Linked DNA regions of Nothobranchius furzeri. The protein of the gene in region 2 purifies or fractionates together with the protein of the main gene of each other region. This does not show direct contact. Links are inferred from orthologs where the notes say so. Each region holds a gene or a part of one and is shown on either strand. Other genes may lie near its edges. The genes, in order: ftsj3, nifk, rpl18a, ddx24 and rrs1.

The links.
Region 1: the proteins of nifk (region 2) and ftsj3 fractionate together in Homo sapiens (co-fractionation; 3 studies listed by BioGRID, with this or other methods). This does not show direct contact. The link is inferred for Nothobranchius furzeri from reciprocal best matches to the Homo sapiens genes NIFK and FTSJ3.
Region 3: the proteins of nifk (region 2) and rpl18a fractionate together in Homo sapiens (co-fractionation; 3 studies listed by BioGRID and IntAct, with this or other methods). This does not show direct contact. The link is inferred for Nothobranchius furzeri from reciprocal best matches to the Homo sapiens genes NIFK and RPL18A.
Region 4: the proteins of nifk (region 2) and ddx24 purify together in Homo sapiens (affinity purification with mass spectrometry; 3 studies listed by BioGRID and IntAct, counting the BioPlex papers as one, with this or other methods). This does not show direct contact. The link is inferred for Nothobranchius furzeri from reciprocal best matches to the Homo sapiens genes NIFK and DDX24.
Region 5: the proteins of nifk (region 2) and rrs1 purify together in Homo sapiens (affinity purification with mass spectrometry; 3 studies listed by BioGRID and IntAct, counting the BioPlex papers as one, with this or other methods). This does not show direct contact. The link is inferred for Nothobranchius furzeri from reciprocal best matches to the Homo sapiens genes NIFK and RRS1.

The regions. Positions count from the first base shown.
Region 1 is NC_091748.1:59,326,025-59,329,307, reverse strand, and holds part of ftsj3 (pre-rRNA 2'-O-ribose RNA methyltransferase FTSJ3), read right to left. Parts: coding exon 3,258-3,283; intron 3,162-3,257; coding exon 3,026-3,161; intron 2,901-3,025; coding exon 2,707-2,900; intron 2,632-2,706; coding exon 2,517-2,631; intron 879-2,516; coding exon 797-878; intron 669-796; coding exon 512-668; intron 374-511; coding exon 279-373; intron 72-278; coding exon 1-71.
Region 2 is NC_091747.1:25,624,275-25,629,495, reverse strand, and holds the start of nifk (MKI67 FHA domain-interacting nucleolar phosphoprotein), read left to right. Parts: upstream 1-1,936; 5' UTR 1,937-2,103; coding exon 2,104-2,226; intron 2,227-3,950; coding exon 3,951-4,079; intron 4,080-4,176; exon of another isoform or gene 4,177-4,307; intron 4,308-4,923; coding exon 4,924-5,032; intron 5,033-5,182; coding exon 5,183-5,221.
Region 3 is NC_091741.1:33,470,615-33,475,514, forward strand, and holds the start of rpl18a (large ribosomal subunit protein eL20), read right to left. Parts: upstream 3,226-4,900; 5' UTR 3,138-3,225; coding exon 3,120-3,137; intron 1,051-3,119; exon of another isoform or gene 919-1,050; intron 860-918; coding exon 680-859; intron 529-679; coding exon 399-528; intron 1-398.
Region 4 is NC_091758.1:31,646,234-31,651,345, reverse strand, and holds the start of ddx24 (ATP-dependent RNA helicase DDX24), read left to right. Parts: upstream 1-1,729; 5' UTR 1,730-1,837; intron 1,838-1,920; 5' UTR 1,921-2,024; coding exon 2,025-2,829; intron 2,830-2,904; coding exon 2,905-3,309; intron 3,310-3,391; coding exon 3,392-3,545; intron 3,546-3,754; coding exon 3,755-4,267; intron 4,268-4,827; coding exon 4,828-4,903; intron 4,904-5,112. UniProt on the Homo sapiens protein: ATP-dependent RNA helicase that plays a role in various aspects of RNA metabolism including pre-mRNA splicing and is thereby involved in different biological processes such as cell cycle regulation or innate immunity.
Region 5 is NC_091747.1:51,664,256-51,668,454, forward strand, and holds rrs1 (ribosome biogenesis regulatory protein homolog), read left to right. Parts: upstream 1-1,817; 5' UTR 1,818-1,865; coding exon 1,866-2,909; 3' UTR 2,910-3,406; downstream 3,407-4,199. UniProt on the Homo sapiens protein: Involved in ribosomal large subunit assembly. May regulate the localization of the 5S RNP/5S ribonucleoprotein particle to the nucleolus.

The DNA.
Region 1 (3,283 bases), on a different chromosome or scaffold from region 2:
TTTCTTCTTGGATGTGGCAATCTCACAGCCAAGGGCCAGGCCTTCTGCATCCAGAATTCTTGCTTTCTTACCTGAATTAAACAGGAAACACAACCATTGTTATTTGCACAACATTAAAACCAAAGGAGCGTTCAGTGTTGGGACTAATTACTTATTAAAGTGACAAAGAAGCTTCCTATCCCATTTAAAGCATGTTAGCCTGTTAAGAGAAGGAAGAGTGAACTAAATGACCTAAATTAAAGTCAAATGTAAACCAGAGTGAGCAGTGTGATACTCACTGGTACTTTCCACAGGAACAACCTGAAATCCGTCCTCGTCAGCTTCTCCTGATGCAGCATTAGCTCCCTTTCCTGGCTTCATACTGGCAATTTCCCTGAAGATGGACCAGTCTGTTCAGTTGTAATTCATTTTATCTGATTTCCAGGGTTTATGATTTAAAATTAATTTCCCTTCTATACATTATTTACACGTTTGAGATAAAAAAACAGAGTCAGAGAAAGCAAAGTTTTACTTCTCATCGTCGCTGCTATCGTCTGAGTCGCTGTCACTTTCCTCCACAGCTTCCTGTGACGGTCCTGCTTTTGTCTCATCTGGAGGAGCAGCTTCCTCCCTTTTCTCTTCTCCAGTCGCTTTTTCTTCTTCCTCAAATTTCCTTTTTTTGCCTTTTCCTAGAAAACATTCAAATATATTAGTTTTGCCAGACACAGAGTCAAGCTAACAACTGACCTTTAAAAATATAGCTCGTCTAATAATGAATGAATATATAAATATGAAAAAGGGCGAGGGAGCCCGTTACCTGACTGTTTGCTCTGGAGCAGTTCGGTCTGTTTCAGCTCACTCTCTGCATCTCCCTCCAGGTCAATTTCAGAAAAGATGCCCTAAAAAGCAAATGACTAATTACTAAAACATATTTATGCATAGGCAGTCATGCTTTTTTTTATGAGATGAGTCACTTTCCTGCAGTTTTGCTCAAAAACAACAATCTCTCTGTGCTGTTTTCTCCCAAAAACAGAACTAGTCTCCACAGGCTGAAATACTAAGAAAATAGGAGGTTGGGCCATATGTAAAACTTTCCAACCTACATACAAATGACAAATGGTAGCAACCTGACACACAGGGATCCATCTTTCAGTTTGTTGAAGCAGACCACGAGGGTTCCATTGTTTTCTGATTTTCATTGATTTGGTGCGTCAATCAACAACATACCGCATCGCTATAGGCTCAAGCTATACATGTAACAAAAGAGGGCGGTGCCTTTGAACTGTCAGCCAGTAGTTGAAGATTGTACCCCCAGCTGGAGGGGTCACCTGTTGGATCAGGTAGCCGTTTAACGTTAATATGAAGATGCTAGCGTAAGTTGTGGTAGGAAACTCATCTGAAAAGAACTTTGAAGGTTTTCAGCAGTCAGTTGTGTTGGATAATGCACGTAAGACTTGTTGTGGAATAAATGTTTTATTGGAGGACATTAATTGGACCCTTGTAAAAGAGTCTGTTCCAGATGTCACTCTTCTGTCAATGATGTGAGACTTTGACTGGTGAGTTGGACATTATTTTAAATTTCCAAGTGGCTTTACCAAAGTGTTTACAGTTATTTTATCCCTGCTTGCATTTATGACCGTGATCATAGCTTTCTAAGGATCAATAATATCTAAAGTGTCCCACCCGATCAGCAAGATCCCGTAATTATTGGGTTACAGGTGTTGTGCTGTAAAGAGCATGCCTGCGGAAATTAGCATCTGTTTTGGGAAGGCGCATATGAGTAAGGAAGCAGCTTTTTAATAAATTCATACTTTTAACATGTTTCTTATCTGCGTGGCTCCTTACAAATTGATGGTTTATGGGCAGATAAATGAAATAAATCATGGTTATAACATGTTTTATTTGAAGTTATAATAACTCTTTAAAAGGTTTGTCCTTTCAGTCACACAGCTGTTTTTTTCTAAACCAACAGCAAAATAGCTTAATAAGCCGGCACAAAATGCAATATAAAAATACTCAGTAACATATTGTCTCAGACGTGTTCAGACGAAAAAAGTCAAAAACATTTACTGTTTATTCATTATTTAATTATATTTCTAGTTAAAACCAAAACCTTTAAAGGAGAAACCCAGATCAGCAACTTGTTAACATTCTGAATCTATTAAAAATAGCCTCATCGTTCATACTTCTAATAGTTTACTTCTGCAATATGCAGTTGTTTCAACAGGGGGTGCAAATTTTGACAAGCAGGCTTTTTTTTTGACACAACACCTGTTAAAACTCAGGCTCCTTCAGTCTCAGTTGTTGTGTCCCTGGCCGAAACACCCCACCGTCCTTATCTGCCGGTGGTCCCAGGGCAGCCGTGGCTACAATAGCTCATCAACATCAGTGTGCCTAACTGTGCAGTAAAACACTTTGGGGTCCCTGACTTTGAAATGCAATAACAAGTGCTATTATATTATTATTATTATTATTATTATCATCGTCATTGTTACACGCTGCTGAAGAGCTCAGCCTATCGTTGATGGGAAACAAACCTTGCTAAACCACAGATTGGTCTGCTGCTCCTTTTTCTCCTCTTTTCCCTCCAGTTCCACCAGCAGCCCACCCTCCTGATCCTCGTCTTCTTGCTCTTCCTCCTCAAACTTTACTCTGTAAGTACAAAAAAAAAAAGAAGTGACTTTTCTGTGCAAGTAAAACGTTTTTATGCAGAAAAAAAACTATTACTTTTTGGATGCTTTCTTTTCCAGCACTTTCTGTCTTTGTTCCACTTCTTCCAAATCATCTTCATCTAAGTCAGATGCCAGAGACATTTTATCTGCTCCATCCTCCTCCTCCTCATCTGAAACGTGAATGTCATCTTCTCCATCTACCATGTTGTCTGCCGCCTGCATGTCCCCTTTAGTGATATCAGCCAGCACCTGACAGACAACGGAGACAACAAAAAGGCTTTAAATTAGAATGAAACATGCAGACCAACAGATGAAAGCAGTTGTCACAAAAAAACAATAGCTGTTGTGACTCTGCATCTTCTGTTTGGTTTAACCTTTGACTTCTTCATGGATGATAGTGAAAACAAGGATGGGTCTGAGGTGCTGGCAATGGAGACACCAGGCAGGTCCATCTTCAGCTCTACTCTCTCCCTCTGCTTCCTCCTCTCCTTCAACAGCTTCTTCTTCTTCCTGATAGAGCATCAAAATCCATGCAAACTATAGAAAACGAGCAACAGCAATAAAGGTAAAAATGCATTTAGATCAAATTTGAAGAAAATATCCAACCGTTTGAGTTCAGCCACTTCTTGAGT
Region 2 (5,221 bases):
CCACGTTTCATCTTCAAAGCTCTCACTGATGGAAGGAGGTTTTGGCTCAGAATCTCACGATACATGTCCCCATTCATTCTGTCCTTAACACGGATCAGTCGTCCTGTCCCCTTAGCAGAAAAACAGCCCCAAAGCATGATGTTCCCACCCCCATGCTTCACAGTAGTTATGGTGTTCTTGGGATGCAACTCAGTATTCTTCTTCCTCCAAACACGACGAGTTGAGTTAATACCAAAAAAGTTCTACTTTGGTTTCATCTGACCACATGACATTCTCCCAATCCTCTGCTGTATCATCCATGTGCTCTCTGGCAAACTTCAGATGGGCCTGGACATGCACTGGCTTCAGCAGCGGAACACGTCTGCCACTGCAGGATTTGATTCCCTGCCGTTGTAGTGTGTCACTGATGGTGACCTTTGTTACTGTGGTCCCAGCTCTCTGCAGGTCATTCACCAGGTCCCCCCGTGTGGTTCTGGGATTCTTGCTCACCGTTCTCATGTATCATTTTGACCCCACGGGATGAGATCCTGCGTGGAGCCCCAGATCGAGGGAGATTATCAGTGGTCTTGTATGTCTTCCATTTTCTGATAATTGCTCCACAGTTGATTTTTTCACACCAAGCTGCTTGCCTATTGTAGATTCACTCTTCCCAGTCTGGTGCAGGTCTACAATTCTTTTCCTGGTGTCCTTCGAAAGCTCTTTGGTCTTGGCCATAGTGGAGTTTGGAGTCTGACTGTTTGAGGCTGTGGACAGGTGTCTTTTATACAGATAATGAGTTCAAACAGGTGCCATTAATACAGGTAACGAGTGGAGGACAGAAAAGCTTCTTAAAGACGTTACAGGTCTGTGAGAGCCAGAGATTTTCCTTGTTTGAAGTGACTAAATACTCATTTTCCACCCCGATTTACAAATAAATTCTTTAAAAATCCTGCCATGTGAATTTATGGATTTTTTTTTCACATTCTGTCTCTCACAGTTGAAGTGTACCTATGATGTAAATTACTGACCCTGCCGAGACACCTGCCGGCCGCGACATTTGGAATTCTAGGATGTCCAAGGAAGATCCCGCCTTTCTCGTCTCTGATTGGCTAGAAAGGCTCTACCACGATTGGCTATTTCATTTAACAGCAAACTGGCTGTCCTGCTAAGGGCTGACAACAGTCCTTCTGCCACCAGCAGAAAGCTGTTTTGGGGAGTTTAGTAAAGAAAATGTGAACTTAGCGCTATAATAAACATTTTGTCCTGGTTTGCGAAATATTTTGTTTAATAAAAAACTGAAAAACATAAAATGTGAATTTTAAATCTTGCTGCATTTATCAAACTGTTGGACTTACTTTATTTCTCTTGGCTCTTAAGCATTAGAGTATAAACATGCCTTACCTGGGTATGACATTTAATAAAACTGCCCTGAGCTGCCGGTCTGTTTCTTCTCTAGAATAATGAATACTGGTGAAAAATAGGTCTAAATCATAATCAGCTTTAACTTAATTTTTGATTACATGATATACATTTAATCTGATGATGAGAGATGTGCTCTAACTTGTAAACAGCCTTAACCTATTAAAGCAGGATAGCCTAATAATGAAGTAATAAGATAACCTCAATAGAGCCAGCAGATACAAAGTCAGTCTACAGTGTGATAAAATGCCACACGATTTATTACAAGTTCACATTTGATGTTTTTCAGGTTCTTTTATGAAAGAAACTGGACCTGATTTGTTGCTAAACAGAAAATTATGTTTATTATAGCGATGAGTTCACATTTTCTTCAAAAAAACTCCTCAAGATCTGGCTATAAACATAAAAACCTGCAGCGAGGGAAAACGGTTTCCTCTTACACGAAATAGCCAATCGCAGTAGAGCCCTTCCAAACAATCAGAGGCGAGAAAGGGAGTAAGACGAGACCTTCCTTGGAAATCCTAGAATTCCAAATGACGCCTCCCGGCCTGCAGGGGGAGCGCTGTGACACCAGCACGACGCCACGACCAGCGCTTCCGTTCCGTCTTCGACTACCCACATGTCGGAGCTCCAACGTGTTGTAAGGCGACATTGATCCTCAAAGCTCTTTAAACGTCTCCGTTTGGGTCATAAAAAACGAGCGAAATGACGGAAGGTAAAGCAGAATCCACCTCAGCGCGAGCAAAAGAGCTACTGGCTCTGAATCCGGCCCAAGAGTCCGAGTTTAAGAAGAAAGTCCAGGAGGCGAAGCAGAAGAAGTCCGGGAAGGTGGGTTCCGATGGAAGTGTGGCTCTGATGGAGATAAATCTGATCATTTAGTTACTGGATTACACTAGGATTTAACTACCCGGTTCTCTTTAGGGGTTTTGAACGCATTTGATTTTGTTCTTTAATAACTATTTTTAAGGCCACCTTGTTTAGCTAGTGCACACGTTAGCTTAAACTAACAGCTACAGCACTCTCCTCCCAGTCCCACCCTGCTAAAGAAGGCCTGGAAAAGTTCCCCCACACATCAAAGTGATTTTTCATTTATGAGCTTTTATAACCTTGTTAATCAGGATAGTTGATTTGCTGCTGCACATAAACCGTCAGTCAGAAGCTCTGCTAGCCGGTTAGCTTAAGAGGAGCTAGTTCAGTTTGTTAGCTTGTTATCAGAATCATAGTTGCAGTTTCATCATCTGAGCTGCTTTTTAAGATCTAGGTAAACTTGTTCAATTTGGGGTTAAAAACTAACGTTTTCACATATTTTCCATGTAGTTTTTTGCCAGTTCCTCTTGTGAAAGGTAGACAATTGTTTTTCTCTTTCCCTCAGAAAATCTTAATATTCTCCCAGTTTGGCCCAGCACAGTTCACTTCCCAATAGCAGCAACAGCCTTATATCATAACCACATAAGTGGAGAAAATGCTCAGTAGCAATGAGAGAATTTGCTGTTGCATTTAATGATGTTAACTATTATTTAACATTTTTCAGATATTTTTATTTATTCTAAAACCCTGGTAAGGGATGTTTTTCTGTATTTGGAGCATCAGAAAAAGTTTTATGGTGGAGGTGATGTTTTAAAGTCACTGAGAAACTGCATGCATGCAGTTTATTGTTTTGCTGCTAATACAGTAGCAGGTGCAGCTGCTAATACAGTAGCAGGTGCAGCTGCTAATACAGTAGCAGGTGCAGCTGCATATTTTTGCAATAAAAATGTTATGTTGTAATGGAATTCATGCATTAGTTTTTGTTTGCTCTGAACCCAGAGCAGACTTCACACGCCAAACGACATCAACACTGCATACTTTAGTATTTTTTCATTTATCGTGAGTAATATCGACATTGCAATATTAAGCACTGTTATCTAATATCGCAGGTTTTCCTAATATTGTGCAGCCCTATTTTATACCATACTAGACTAGTTTTATAAAACATTTAACTAGTTTTATACCATACTAGACTTGTTTTATGCCATATTAGACTAGTTTTATACAACATTTAATTACTTTTAAACCATATTAACTAGTTTCTTACCATATTAGACTAGTTTTATGTAGGGCTGAGTACTCGATTACAAAAATATTCAATAGCTGCAGCCCTAGTTTTATACCATACTAGATTTATAAAATATCAGACTAGTTTTATAAAACATTTAACTAGTTTCATACCATATAAGACTAGTTTTTAAACCATATTTAACTGTAGTTTTACATGATGCACCATCAATCATAGAGCACAGGACTATATTAAAACTTTAATTAGGAGGCTAACAATAACTTAGACTAGTGGTAATAAACGTTACTAGTGATTAATATAAACATGTGGTAATAGAAGGTAATTAAAGACCTAAATGATAAAAAAAAGTGAAGCAACATTATAATAACTTTAATAAACACAATCTAGAAAGTTATTAATCTGTTGTTCTTCCAGCCAGTCTGTAGTCTTATATCATGTAACTGGATGAGTGTTTCTCTAGACTTCTTAAAGAATTGAACGTTTTCTGTCTTTTCAGGGTGGACGTCTGACTCCAGGTGTTGTTTACGTCGGTCACCTGCCTTTGGGACTATTTGAGCCGCAGCTTAAATCGTACTTTGAACAGTTTGGGAGGGTCCTGCGTCTTCGTTTGTCCAGAAGCAAGAAGGTGATGTTGAACGGTGCCATGTTTAGTGAAGACTAATAGCTTTATTTACATCATCAGAGCAGCAATGGCCCTGCAGCTCTGCTCCAACACATGTGGCTCAGGCTGAAAATGGTCTCGGGTGTAAATGTGGTCTGAGGTCAGATAACTGAGCCTAAAGTATTCTGGTGCATTAAGCTTATTGCCTGCTGGACCTGATAGCAGAGCGATAAAACCCATGTCCCAACATTCACTAAAGGTTGGTTTATGCTTGACGTGTCCGCGAGGTCCGCGCGGCAAAATTGCGTCATTTTAACAACCACGCGCCTCCGCACGGCCCAAACTTTCCGCACCGCACACCTAGGAAATTTTCTAACCACGCGGACGGTCGGACGCGGTAAAACATGGCGGACTGGCAAGGACTAGTATGGCAGAGGTTCGTAAATACAGACATTTGTATGATTCGGCTCTCAGAGATCACAGTGATCAACATGTTGTTAATAATTCTTGGAGAGAAATAGCTCGCACTGTCGGAAAAGACGAGAACGCTGTTAAAAATGCTGGAATGCCATGTTGTAAACAACAGTAATGTTTACTTCTACTATGGTGTAGTGTTGGATGCATGCCATAGAGCTCCATGCTGCCCCCTACAGTTTGGGAGAATATTGGCTCACCGCAGAGACGAGCCGCACGAACCATAAACGCTGCGAGTTGTGAAGCGCGGTCCATCCGCGAGCCGCATCACTGCGCGGAAAGTGAATGTGTCAAGCATAAACCAAGCTTACTCCAGATGTGACCAGCCTGGGATGGAGACGTTTCCCCTCCTGAAAGCGGGGCTGGGTACTGATCCATGTGTGCTTTGTTACAGACTGGTGGAAGTAAAGGCTACGCGTTTTTGGAGTTTGAATGTGATGAAGTAGCAAAGATTGTTGTGGAGACCATGAACAATTACCTGATGGGGGAGAAACTCATCAAATGTGAGTTTTTTCCTGTGTTTGTCTGAGAGTTACGGGAGTGTTGTGCCTCAATAGGATTGCTACCTAAGAAGGATTTACAGTACTTGCTCAGACGCCGTTTGGAATCCATCCATATTCCCGACTTTCACTGTAGCATCTTTGCATTTGCAGGTCATCTGATTCCTCCCGAGAAGGTACATGAGAAGCTGT
Region 3 (4,900 bases), on a different chromosome or scaffold from region 2:
CGTTTCATGAACATCGGGTTTTCCTGAACCCACTTGATCGTGAGCCTGCTACCTGCTAGCGTTAGCTAATCTGCTTGTAGTTACACTTTTGGCACTAAACTCTGGACTGTTTCTGCTTCTGCGTCTTCGCTGGTTTCGGTTTTCCTCCACAGCCCCTAGATTAGCTCAGTGTGCACCGGTGAAACACACCAATTACACGAGCGACATAGATGTGCCTCGGTCTGATCTGCTGCCGCATCAGATGAGCAGTGACGGTTACTTAAAGGTTGCACAACACAACGAATTGATAACGAATGGATTTGTTGTTGCAGCCCTAGCCCAGGTTCACGTTTCTTCCATCTTTGACCCGTTTGCCCTGGAACACAAACACCTAACGGCTCGGCTGGACCGGTACTCACAGCACTGGGTGACGGCTCCAGACGTGCTCAGGTCCCGGTACTCTCTGTACATGTTGTGGGTTCCGCTCCGAGAGTCGTAACGCAACCAGATACCAAAGTTTTTCACCTTCAGGGGCGTCTTCTCGTGGACCTGAGGACAGAGGGGGTTATGAACGGATCAGCCAGGCTCAGCTTCATGAGAACCAAACGTCGCTTCTTCTGACAGCTGATCTACGATGGGATGTGGACGGGACTCTGACTCAGATCTTTTTACTGAAAATGTTCTGATTCATTTCACCCACCAGGCCACAGTAGACAATCTCGCCTGAAGCCTTCTTCATCTTCCTCAGCTGCGAGACAAAGTACCAGAAACGGGACTTTGCCACCACGTGGTTTGGAGCAAAGATCCTCATGCGGTAAAGAGGAGGGGCGGGGTTCTTGGGCGAGGGCAGCAGACGCCCGATGACTTTATACTCCCGAAGCTGCAGAAAGAACCAGAACATGTCAGAACTTCACATCATAGAAGCCTGAAACCATCAAAGCATGTTGGACCTTGAATTCACTTTCAAAGGCACCGCAGCATCAGAGAAAGGCGACAAGGACCATTTCCTGTTTGCACACCAGACAAAATCACGCCACTGACCACGGCGTGACCTTTGGGTTTGGGTGCAGACACAAACAAGACAAGACAAGGGTGCATCAGTAAGACACGGCTTTGTGCGACCAGAACTCCTCCTTCTCAGGTTTGAGCCCATCTGAAACCTTTCTCCACCTGGTTCCGGTCAAAGAACAGGAAACACTTAGGATCTGGAAATAAACCAACTTCTAAATAAAACCAGCTGAGTTTTTAACTCAACAACAACGATGTATGAGGAACCTTCTGGAGGTATAGCGAAGTCCTGGATAAAGTTACTTAAAAGACCGACAACAGTATGTACAAATTAAAGATATAAAATCTGGATTTAGAGAAATAAGTTGTGGAGTTCCACAAGGTTCAGTAATAGGTCCTATATTATTTACTTTATATATAAATGACATATGTAACGTGACAGATTTTTTCAAATTCATGTTTGCAGATGATACAAATTTAGTTTGTTCAGGTAAAGATGTTAAAGAACTTTTAAAGAAGGCCGAAAAAGAGTTAAATATCCTCAAATCTTGGTTTGATGTAAATAAACTATCAATGAATATAAAAAAGACTAAATTTATGATTTTTGGAAATAAGAAGGTAAAAAATTGGGACTTTAAATTAACAATTTCAGATACTGAAATTGAAAGAGTGTCTGAAATAAAATTTCTTGGTGTTGTGATTGACTCTAACTTATCCTGGAAGCATCATTTAAATTATATAAAAGGAAAAATTGCCAAATCTTTGGGTCTATTATATAAGCTGAAGGACATACTAAACCATAAGGCCTTACGTCTAATATACTGTTCGCTAATACAACCATACATGGCATATTGTATAGAAATATGGGGTTCAACTTTTAAAACATATATACATGAAATAAAAACTATACAAAAGAAATCTATTCGACTTATGAACAAGAGCAATTATTATGCTCATACTGGCCCGTTGTTTTTAAAATCACAGATTATGAAACTAGAAGATCTATATTATTATAAAATAATGCAATTTATGTTTAGAGTAAAATTAACGGCTCTGCCAGAAAATATACTAATGTTTTTTGCAAAGAGGGAAAGTAAATATGATTTAAGAGGTGTATGTATGTTTGTTCTTAAAAAAGCCAAAAAGGGCATGAAAAGTAGATGTATCTCTGTAATGGGGGTAAAATTTTGGAATGAGGCTAAAATAGAATTAAAATTAGCAACTTCTCTTTCAGTTCTTAAAAAACTTATCAGTAAAAATATTTTTGAAGAGTATTAATTTGATGTTGATGGATGGATTTGTGTTTTACTTTTATTTGGGTAGTTGGTTCATTGCGGGAAATTGAAAAATTGTTTTGTAAGTAGGTTAGGCAATTCTATAAGCTATTGCTTCTGCCTAAACCTGTTCATGAGATACCAAATAGACACCATTTACAACATAACATGTATATGTTAGTGAGAAATGGTATTTGTATGACATGTTATTGTATATTATCTTAAGATGACTGACTGAATAAATTGATCATTCATTCATTCATGCTGCTCAGATGTCCAGAACCATCACAGGGTTTTACTGGTCCCAGTTAAAGGCATCATCTCTGCTAAGGTTCTGGTCCAAAACCCAGTTAGTCAGAATGAACGTTTTAAACCGGCTGAATGTTAGTTTTTCTTTTACTTTGAGACTCGCTCTGCTCCTCAACTCATTTCTGAAACGTTTTACTTTTATTGTTTTGATGCATTTAGAATAAAACCAACACCGATGGTTTTCAGCCTAACAGACCTCCGCTAAAGAGCCTCCGAATGACCCGGACCCCCGTCTTAAACTGGACATATGCTCTAAATGTGACTAAAGTGTGAAGGTCGAGTAAAACACCGATCAGTAAAGCCACTACAACTGGAGCTGAGACCGTGTCCGACGCTTTTAACCACCGAACGTGTAAAACGCGTCCACATGGTGCCGCCGCCATGTTAGAGCCGAACAGGCGCAGCGCGAAAACCTCAATATTTTGTGCTTAAGCGCACTTTTACCACATGCTAGCTCAGTAATGCAGTTACATGTATGTAACACGGTTATATCGTCTTTTATAGAGCGCGTATGAAGGCTAAAACGACTAAATAAGAGTCTGAACGTACGGTTCCGGAGGCCTTCATGGTGTCTCCCGATCACTGCCACAGTCAAAGAGGAGGGAAGAAGGTAGCGACTGCGCATGTCAGTAGCACTAGGACAGCCTTTTTATGCAAATTTAGTCACATATGATTTGTAAAACACACATGATTGGTCAATGATTGATGATTTTTTTCTCCATAACTTTATTTAAATCATGTAGATAGACAATATCAATTTTTTTGTTCTTTTCTAACAAAGTTTTAGTAAAAACGTTTTTACGACATGTTTTAGCTAGTATCTCTAGCCCAAAGCCTAAAGGGTTAGGGTTTATCACAAAAGGTCTGCTCTAGCCGTCATCAGCGATCTCCGGTGTTGGTGACGCCACTTCCTTTTATCCTTTTTTTTACAACAAACTTTATTAGTGAAATTGGGGATCTTACATAGCAACGAAGTAAAGCACAACAATACAAGCAAACAAACAAAGGGGCCAAAGTGATAAAACAGTGTTCAAAGGATAAGAATACAGAGCACAATCAGGTACTACAAGGAATAGAGAGGGAGAAAATGTGTTACCAGTTGTACAAGTCGTATTCTTCAAGTAGGTTCCAAGTTTTTATAGCTTTTAAATTTCCTGAGTTTTTAATAGAATCAGCATATTTTTTAATTTCACAGAGGAAGACAGGTAAAAAAGGATTAACATGGGTATATTTACACTTATGAATATAGTATTTAGCTAAAATAAAAATTAGGTTCAGTATGTAGATTCTATTACTCTCTTTGCCTTCAAAAAATCCAAAAATAACATGTTTCAAACAGAAGGAGACATCAGGAAGAACCTTTTGCTGCAGAAGATCTAAGACATCAGACCAGAATTTAGAAGTATTTGTACAGGTCCAGAATAGGTGAGTAATTGTTTCAGGATGACTGTTACAGAAAGAACAGCAGGTGTCAATGTCATTTTTAAATCTTTGGGAAATAAAATGTTTAACAGGGTAACAGTTATGTAATATTTTAAAAGAAACCTCTCTAATTTCATTAGTTAAAATATATCTGTGGGGTAAAAGCCAAGTTTTATTCCATGGAATATTATTTACAGTAGAGTTCCAAAATGAAATAATATAGGGAGAGGAGATGGAAAGCTGTTGAAAAAGACCTCTGGTAGATTTATTGCATGATTTCTTTGGAGAAAAGCAAATTTTACCAACGTATGTTTGAGCGAGGTCAGTATAAGTCACCAAACCATCCAAAAAAGAGGATCCTGTTAGCAGCATTTTGATACCAGACGGTATTGCATTCATCACAATCGTGAACTCCCTAGGAGAAACCACTACAGGATACTTTTCTGTAAATTCAAAGTGTTCCTTTTATCCTTTTAGCTATTCCTTTTTACCCAAAGGACAAGATATCAGCAGGTAAATAATGTGGAGTCATACATAAAATCCCAGGACAGCTCAGCAATAAAACTTTCATAAGAGAAACCGGACGCCAACTCAACACACAAGAGCAGAAAGTACAATAAAGAAATCAGCCGTAACACCACTGCACGAGGGAAAACCACCAAACAGACTGGGACAGAACACGGATCATAAACACAGAACAACAAAAATACAAAGAAGCGACTGAAATAAGGAGACGTGGACACTCAACGATGAACAGAGATGATGGAGTATTCTAAGTGGATCCCTCATGGGACAGTGTCATCAGCAAGGACTCGGGCAGTTGAAGCAGCATCTTCCTCTGCTGCAGTCCCTACACCCCCAGCAGGTCCCTGAGGTCCAGTGACCAAAGCCTACTGGTTGTGCAGCAC
Region 4 (5,112 bases), on a different chromosome or scaffold from region 2:
GAAACTTTAAACTGGATTCTGTGCTTCTCTTCCTCCAGACTCTGGGATCTTGATTTCCAAAGAAAATGCAAAATTAACTTTAGTCAGAACATAACATTGGACCAGTCAGCAGCAGTCCAGCCCTCTTGGTCTTTAGCCCAGGTGAGATGCTTCTGACATTCTTGTTCAAGAGTAGCTTGACACAAAGACCCATGTCTTGTATACATCTGTTTGAGGATTGATTTAAGACGTGTGATGCGGCGGAGTTGGAAAAAGCAGGACTTGACAGTGTTTTGCTGTCATTTGACATGGCAACCTAAACACCCTCAACTTTAGCAATGACCTTTTGTGTCTTGCCCTCCTTGTGCAAGGTGTAATGGTCATATTTTGGACAGGTAAGTTAGCAGTCTTCCCCATGATTGTGTAGCCTACAGAACTGGGCTGACCCCTTCTTTCCACTGCACGTGAAAGTGTCGCAAAATGAAGGATGCCAGAATTGGCTGCCGTTATCGTGGATGAGTTCCTTTCCACTACCGTGACGTTTTGAAGCGAGGGCATGCTATCGTTACGTTTTGAGTATGTTTTTTACGTGCTAAACTTCCAAAACATGCCCAACTGTGCAGTTTAGATCGCACCAGACAGGAAGTCATATGCAAAGCAGTGTAGAAACTTTCAAAATTAAAGTAACATGCAGGTAAACGTATGTCATTTCCTGCTATAACCCCCAGAGCAGATGTAAACAAGAGAAAATAAACCAGACCTTTTGTGAGTAATGCAGCTACCTTTCTGCTTGCTTATTGTGTGTGGAGTTCTGAAATCACGGGTGGTGTTACAATTCTTCCGTGATTTTGTAACGTCACGGGATCAGCTGTGTGGAAGACTTTAACTCCCATTTTGCATCATTGCTCCAGGGGCTTGCGGGGTAAAATCATCGACATAAATGGGTAAAATGCCTCTTTTACATTACGCGACCACTTTCATGGCTGGTGGAAAGCCGGGGTGACAAACCATTTAAAGGCATTTGCTGGTGTTTTGAGTTAATTAGCTGATTAGAGTGTGGCAGGAGTCTCCAATATTGGCTCTTTTCACAATAATCTAATGTTCTGAGAAACTGAATTTGGGATTTTCCTAGTTGTCAGTTACAATCATCAAAATTAAAGAAATAAACATTTGAAATATATCAGTTTGTGTTTAATGAATTAATCTACTATAAAAGTATCCCTTTTTGAATGGAATTACAAAAAGAAATCAACTTTGTCATGATATTCTAATTTTAGGACCTGTTCTTGGCTAATCTAACACTGGCTATTTGCTCTTGTCAGTTTTATTTTCTATGTGATGGTTAAGGATGGTCACCAGACACCTGAGAGGGCTTTTTAAGTTAAACCTTAGATTGTTGTCTGGCCCATACAACAAAAATACAATGTTAGTGTGACTAGAAGCATTGTCCAAAATATTTATTTGAATAAAAAACATCGTAAAACCTCAACAGTAAATGAAATCCCAAAACAAAAATGATTTTAAGACGAGCAAATATACAAAAGAAAACTATAGCCTCAACTATTATGTACTTTTGAGTTGTGCATATTACTACTTTTTACAGCAAAACGTAATATAAATGTTCTCACGATTGTACATTTTTACTGAGAAACACCCAGAACCCTGATGTAATAATAAAAACTGAAATAATAGGTTTCATTAGGCTAATCTGGAAAGTTTTGATTTTGGGATTTGTCTTCCGTTGTTTGACAAATAAAGTTTTTACAAACCACGTGACGCACTGTCATGGCGGCGTACTTGTTCGATGCGTGGATGTAGATCAAAAACATCTTTTATAAGCAACTTGCTTTTAAACCAGGTATTTGTTTCCCTTTATGACTGATGTAGCTTAATTTAAACATTTTACAACTAATTTACATGTTTTTGTAATTGTCGTTGCAGTTTCGTCACAAAGGCGCGACACACAGCGTGGGGAAAGTCACATTTTAGCAGTAACTGAATCTTTATTCGAGACAGTTGTTTACAGGAACACGAAAGTACAGAAGATGAAACCTAAAAACAAACGTGTTTCCTCTGGAAAGAAGAAGAAGGCAGTGAAGTGGAGCATCGATACGAGAGGCGAGTGGAAAGCCGTGGAGCTGGATCCCAGTCTAATTGTGGAGAAGGGCCTGGAGGATCTGGTGTGCTTCGAAGAGCTGACAGATTACCGCCTGGTAGACAGCGAGAAGGCTGCAGCCAGAGCTGCTAAAGAGCTGAAAACAAAGAAGGCAAAGAAAAGAAAAGCTGAGGAGACAGGGAAGGTGGAGAGCAAAGAGGCAGAAAACACAACTGAACCTGTCAAGAAAAAAGCAAAAAAGAGAAAAAACAAGAAAGGAGCTGCTAAAACATCAGATGATCATAATAAAGCTGTGTCAAAAGAGGATAAATCTGCTGGTGAAGACGGAGGAGGAAATAATGCAGCACATGAAGAAAAAACAGCAGAAGTATTAGAAAATACATCAGCTGGTACCAAAAAAAGGAAGAAGAAGAAGAAGAAGAAAGTAAAGCAGCAGAGGGTTCAGGATGTGGTTGCAGATGAACAAATAGACTTGGAACGTTTACCAGAAAAATCCAGTCATAATAAATCTGGAAAGCCTCTTAAGAGAAAGACTCAGAACTGGGCAAATGCAGCACTGTCTGGTTCTGATGACAAAAAGTCTGATGTGAGTGCGTGGAAGGATCTGTTTGTGCCACCCCTGGTTCTGAAGGCACTGAGCAGTCTGGGATTCAGCTCACCCACACCAATTCAGGCCCTGGCGTTGCCACCAGCTATCAGAGATCGGATGGACATACTGGGAGCAGCTGAGACTGGTAAGGTCACTTCAACTTTCATCTTTTAAACAGTCATTAAGATTATTGGCTCACCTTGCTTGTGTACAATTTTAGGAAGTGGTAAGACTTTGGCTTTTGGGATTCCCATGATCCACACCATCCTGGAGTGGAAAAGCGGCGCAAAGAGAACAACTGAGGACACTGGACCGGCCTCAACGGCGGAGAGCTTGCGTTTACCGTCAGATGATGTTCCCACAGAATTACCCAACCAGGACAGTGATGAAGATTCAGAGGAAGGTGATTTAGATCAGACTCTAGAAGCCTCTGATGAAGAAGATGCCGAGGATGGCGATGAGAATGAGCAGCTTGGGTGTGTTAAAGTGATCGACAAAGTGGAGTTTGATTTTGAGGAGAAAGCTGACGGTCGGAGTCGTCCTCTCCTTGGGCTGGTTCTCACTCCCACCAGGGAGCTGGCTGTTCAGGTCAAACATCACATTGACGCTATCACCAAATTTACAGGTGAGCTTTTATTACACAGAAGTGTTGATCCGCCGCGGGATGTATCTCCTTTTACACTTTTGTTGGTGTTTCTGTGCTGCAGATATCAAAACGGCGGTCGTTGTAGGAGGAATGTCTCAGCCGAAACAACGACGGATGCTGAAGCGCAGGCCCGAAATCCTCATTGCCACTCCGGGACGTCTGTGGGACTTAATTAAGGAGCAACATCCTCACCTGCTCAACCTCAGACAGCTCAAGTACGTCACAGTTCAAATCCCTTCAGCATCTGATTCATAAAACTCATATCCCAATATGAAAAATATGATAGCAAGCATCCACAAATCACAAAGCAATAAACTATAGATCCATACCAACTGCATCTTTTGTCAGAAACATAGAAACTCAGCATTATTAGTTTAATTACATGCATGCTTCTTTTGGCACCTGTCTGGCTCTGGTGCTGCAGGTGTCTGGTCATCGATGAAGCCGACCGCATGGTCGAGAGAGGTCACTTTGCAGAGCTGGAGAGTCTGCTGGAGATGCTGAACACGACTCACAGCAACCCTACGAGACAAACATTTGTCTTCTCTGCTACTCTGATGATGGCACACAGCCTGCCCAGCCGCCTCCTGCAGAAGAAGAAAAGGAGTCTGGACTCCAGGAGCAAACTGGAAATTCTCATGGAGAAGGTGGGGATTAAGTCTAAACCCAAAATCGTTGACCTCACCAGGAAGGAGGCCACGGTTGAGACGCTGACGGAAACACGGATCCACTGTCAGAAGGACGAGAAGGACTTCTACTTGTATTACTTCCTGCTTTGTCATCCTGGACGCACCATGGTGTTTGCAAACAGCATTGACTGCATCAAGAGACTCACCTCTCTGCTGGCGATCTTGGATTGTTCTCCGCTGCCTCTACACGGCAACATGCACCAGAAACAGCGCCTCAAAAACCTGGAAAGGTTTGCCGAGGGGGAAAAGTAAGCAGTGCGCTTACTTGTGTGTACAGTGATCCCTCGTTTATCGCTGTAGATGCGTTCCAGACCTGGCCGCGACAGGTGAAAATCCGCGAAGTAGGGACACCATATTTACAGTACAGCACATTCTCTTTTTGTGGGTAAAACTCAAGAGAAAATTTTTTTACTTGTTTTTTTTTTATAGTTTTATTACAAAAAGTGCATTTTATGATGATATTGATGAAAAAAAACAGGAATTTGATATTTCACATAGAAAAATACCGCGAATCGGTGAAAAATGCCACGAATCTGCGAATTTCCCTTGAATAAGCCTCCAAAGAAAAAATCCGCGAAGTCGTGAATCTGTGATAAACGAACCGCGAAGTAGCGAGGGATCACTGTAACTTATGATTTTGTGTGTTCTTGTTGTTACTGAAACATGATTTTTATAAAAACTTTTCAGTTAAATAAAATAATTCCAATAATATAAACTCACAAAAACAATAATTAACTTCTGAAATGATGAGCATTACCTTTAAAGATGCACCTTCCTGAATCTGGCTTTTTACTTTTTGCCTTCGCAGCTGTGTTCTCTTGACGACTGATGTGGCGGCCAGAGGCCTGGACATCCCCGATGTTCAACATGTTATTCACTACCAGGTCAAACCTAAAGACCTTTACCTACCATTAATGGGTGTTTTGTGTAAAAGTTGTAAATTGTTGCTGCTTTGTCTAGACGTAGATAACATTTCTCCACTTTGCTTGCAGCCAAGGCCAAAGAGCAAGTTCCCTGAGACGCTAATTTTACTTCTTATTTTTGAAATACAATCAGTTACTCTGAGCTTAACATACTGGCTAAATGTGAAAAT
Region 5 (4,199 bases), about 26 Mb from region 2:
GGCCAATAATTACGCTTTTCCTCCTCACATTTCCAAACACAGCATCGCTTGTGACCTTATCTCTGAGCCTGGCACGGAGTTAGTATTCACATGGCAAGTGTGGCGATGAATGTAATTACTGAGGCCCAAAATAATGGCACCGTCGTCTTTGAGCGACCGATTGTTGTGGAACCCCCCTCCCCTCCAACCTCCCGCAGCCAAATTAGAGAAGATGAGGATAAAAATAGAGCTATTAAAGTACCAGAGCTGTGAGGGGAAATGGTACACAGTGCAACAATGAGAAGGGGTGTAGTATTAATAATTCAAGGGATTTAATCTCACATGAAAACATGTTCAGCCATCCTGTAGGGAAGTTTATCACAGCTGCAAACTTTTAAATGATCCAGAGACACTACAGGAGTCTGAGAGCAGGAACTTTCTAAACACTGTATATTAATATATTAAAACTGGTCATTTTCATACACATTTTTACAATTTCATCCAATCTTATTAGACTTATTTAACTATTCTGGTTTATTAAACACAATTTTGTTGTTGTTGTCTTTAGAAGGTTCCATTCATAAAGTAAAAAGTTGTGGTAAAAATTTTTGTTTTCTTATTTTAATTCGAAACAAAATGCAAAATTCTGCCAAATGTGGACAACTTTCTATGGGGTCAGCAATTGCAATAGCAAATATACCGTAAAAGTGAGAATTTTAGCCAGAAGTCACAGAATAAGAAATCTGTTGCATCATTTTAAATTTCTGCATTCATAAATTATGCATAATGATTTTATTTACAGTACTCCTAAAAGTAAACTTAGAGGGATGTGTACAAAAGCTGATGGTACTTGGAGACCTTTTCTAAAGATTTTAAACTTACGTAAGCCGTTTATTCTAATTCTTGACATCTAACATAATAATTTAACGTAATGTTTTGAAGCTGTGGAACGTGTGCATTTGTCTTCTCTAATTTAAGCAGATTCATCCTAAAATGCATGTAAACATGGCATCCAGTTTAAATCACTACTGAAAACTCATTTATTCAGGCAGGCTTTCTCAAATGCCTAATGTAACCGCAAACATTTGCTTGACTATGTTCTTCCTACTGTTATTTTATGTAGATTTTAACTAATGTGTCAATGTGCAATGAATATCTTTATGATAATGATCTATTGATTGATTATTTATGACTTATCTGTTGATAATTTTAACTTGAATTGTTAGTTTAGTATTTTAGCATTTTACTGTTTTCATTTTTAACTTGTATCTGTTTAACTGTTTGATTTGCATTTTTAATTTAACAGTGTTTTAACCTGTATCATGTCGTTTCTGTTAAAGTGACCTTGAGAGTCCTGAAAGGTGCTTACAAATTAAATGCATTAAAAATGCATGTAAACAAGCTGCAATGATTAATATGCAAGTGTGTATTTGTTACACAACATAATGATGCAATAGGCTTGTTTGAACTCAGTTTTAAATCATAGAAGCGTGCTTACAATAAAGTATGCATAGTAGAAAAATTTAAATTTGAACATCTCATTGAAAAGATCTGCATTTTTTAAGTTTTTGTTTATATTTGGCGTCCTTAAGCACCATGAATTAATTAATTAATGTTCTGCTGTGTGTACATAAACTTGCAAGATAGCACAGCTGATTAGCATGTTCATATGTCTGTATATATTTGTTATTGTTATTGTTGTGGCTTACAATGAATCACATTTATTCCGTCACTTTTCATTTCGTTCTGTTTTGTACTCTTGGTGAAAACAGCGACCGCAGTGCCATCTAGTGGCCAAAATGAGAACTTCCGGTTGCTGCCCACGACCCGGAAGTACATTGCCTTGTTTTTCCGGATTCGCACGTGGGGAGTTGAGCGTTCAGAAAATGGCTGCGAGCAGTGTGGAGGAGTTGTTAGCCAAAGCCGAGCAAGAAGAGGCTGAAAAACTGAAAAGTATCACCGTCCAGAAGGAGCTGGACCTGGACTTCGACCTCGGTAACCTGCTAGCTTGTGACAAAAACCGCATCGAGACGCGGGACTTCAGAGAACAGAAGAAGGAGGACTTCTTGCGGTCGCTAGCTCGTGACAACACACAACTTCTCATCAACGAGATATGGAAACTCCCCACGGAGAGGGTCGAGGAGGTGATAGTAGCTAAGCTACCGGAACCGACCACCCGGCTGCCGAGAGAGAAGCCCCCACTGAAGCCTAGACCTCCAACCAAATGGGAGCAGTTCGCCAAGCTGAAAGGCATCCAAAAGAAGAAGAAAACCAATCTGGTTTGGGATGAGACCGCGAAGGAGTGGAAGAGACGCTGGGGCTACAAGAGGGCTAACGACGACACCAAGGAGTGGCTGATTGAGGTGCCAGAGACTGCGGACCCCAACGAGGACCAGTTCGCTAAACGGGTCAAAGCCAAGAAGGAGCGAGTGGCTAAAAACGAGTTCAACCGGCTGAAAAACATCGCCAGGGCGCAGAAAGTCAAAACCCCCGGCGTGGGACTGGTCCCCAAAGCTCAGCAGTCCAGAAACGAGCTGGCCAAAGCAGTGAGTGTGGCCAAAGTCTCCACAGCATCTGTTGGGAGGTTCCAGGACGACCTGCCCAAAGAGAAACCTCCAAAGAACTCAGGCAAGAGGAGGAAGTTTGACCCTCTGATCGGTGACTTCTCCAGCGAGAAGCAGAAGCAGCTGGATCTGCTGAAAACCATGGGCAGCAAGAAGCCCAGACTGGACATCACCAAGGCTGTGAATCAGCAGATGAGGGAGGAGGACAAAGAGGAGGCTGCAGCCAAGCGCAGGAAGGGGGGTGGGAAGAGGGGAAGGAAAGGGAACATGACTGGGAAGGGGAAGGCTGGGAAAGCTGGAGGAGGGGGGAAGGCTGGGAAAGCTGGAGGAGGGGGAAAGAGGAGAGGAAAACCTGGGAAGAAATGAGAACTTTAATAAAAAATATTTAAAAAATACACTTTCATACAGCAGCGATAAGTAACTGATGTTTATTTTTCGTTGGTGTTTTTGAAATAAGAGATTTAAAACATCAATATTTTGACTTTCAAGAAGAAATCTGGTGTCATTTATACAAATCTGTTGTTTATGGTTAATTTTACAAATGTATGAGTTGTATTAGTTCAGCAACAAAGCATTTTGGGAGAATTAACATTAGATTAAATAATTTGCTGTCATAATTATAAAGTTTAGACCTTTTTAGGTGGAAAAAGTGTTTAAGAAAACCAATAGTTTCAAAAAGCCTCATTTGAAACTTTAATGGCTTTATAATCTGTTTATTTAATTTTTTAGGTTTATATTCAAATAAACCTGGAAGAAAAGGCTCAAATTCATCCTAAAATTGTCACTGTCATGTTGCGTGTTTATTTGTCTCAACCTTAATTCATGAAATGGATACATTTACAAATAAATAGTATTTCACCTTATTTTGTCCATGTTTCATTTTAGATTTTGAAGTTACATTTATTTAGAAAAACAAGTACAGTGATCCCTCGCTACTTCGCGGTTCGTTTATAGCGGATTCACGACTTCGCAGATTTTTTCTTCGGAGCCTTATTCAAGGGAAATTCGCCGATTCGCGGTATTTTTCACCGATTTGCGGCATTTTTCTATGCGAAATATCAAGAAATTCCTGTTTTTTCATCATAAAATGCACTTTTTGTAATAAAACAAGTAAAAAAAGATTTTTCTTGAGTTTTACCCACAAAAAGAGAATGTGATCATACGATAATTCAATATAGTACTGTACTGTAAATATGGTGTCCCTACTTCGCGGATTTTCACCTATCGCGGCCAGGTCTGGAATGCATTTACCGCGATAAACGAGGGATCACCTGTAATCTAAAAGTGCACTGAAAATTCATATAATTCAATGCTTTAGGGTCACGAAGAACTAAATCTGTTTACCGATAAACATCAGATAAAATAGCAAATGGGAAAAAAATTTCAGATAAATATAACTTTCAGACTGAATAAATTTAAGTGATGTCATTTTTTTCATTCAAAGCAACGTAGGAATATTTGCTGTTATTGATTATTACTGTAAATGTTGAAAATAACTGAAAATTAAGATGATTATTAAACCAGATCGATAGAGCTGATCAGCATTTTGGTTCAAACATGTAAAATATTATTTCTACATAATACTGATCACAGGTTTACAACAGAGCAGGCCTTCAGGTGTATTTTTAAGGATGCTTTTATGTTTATCTGTCCTAG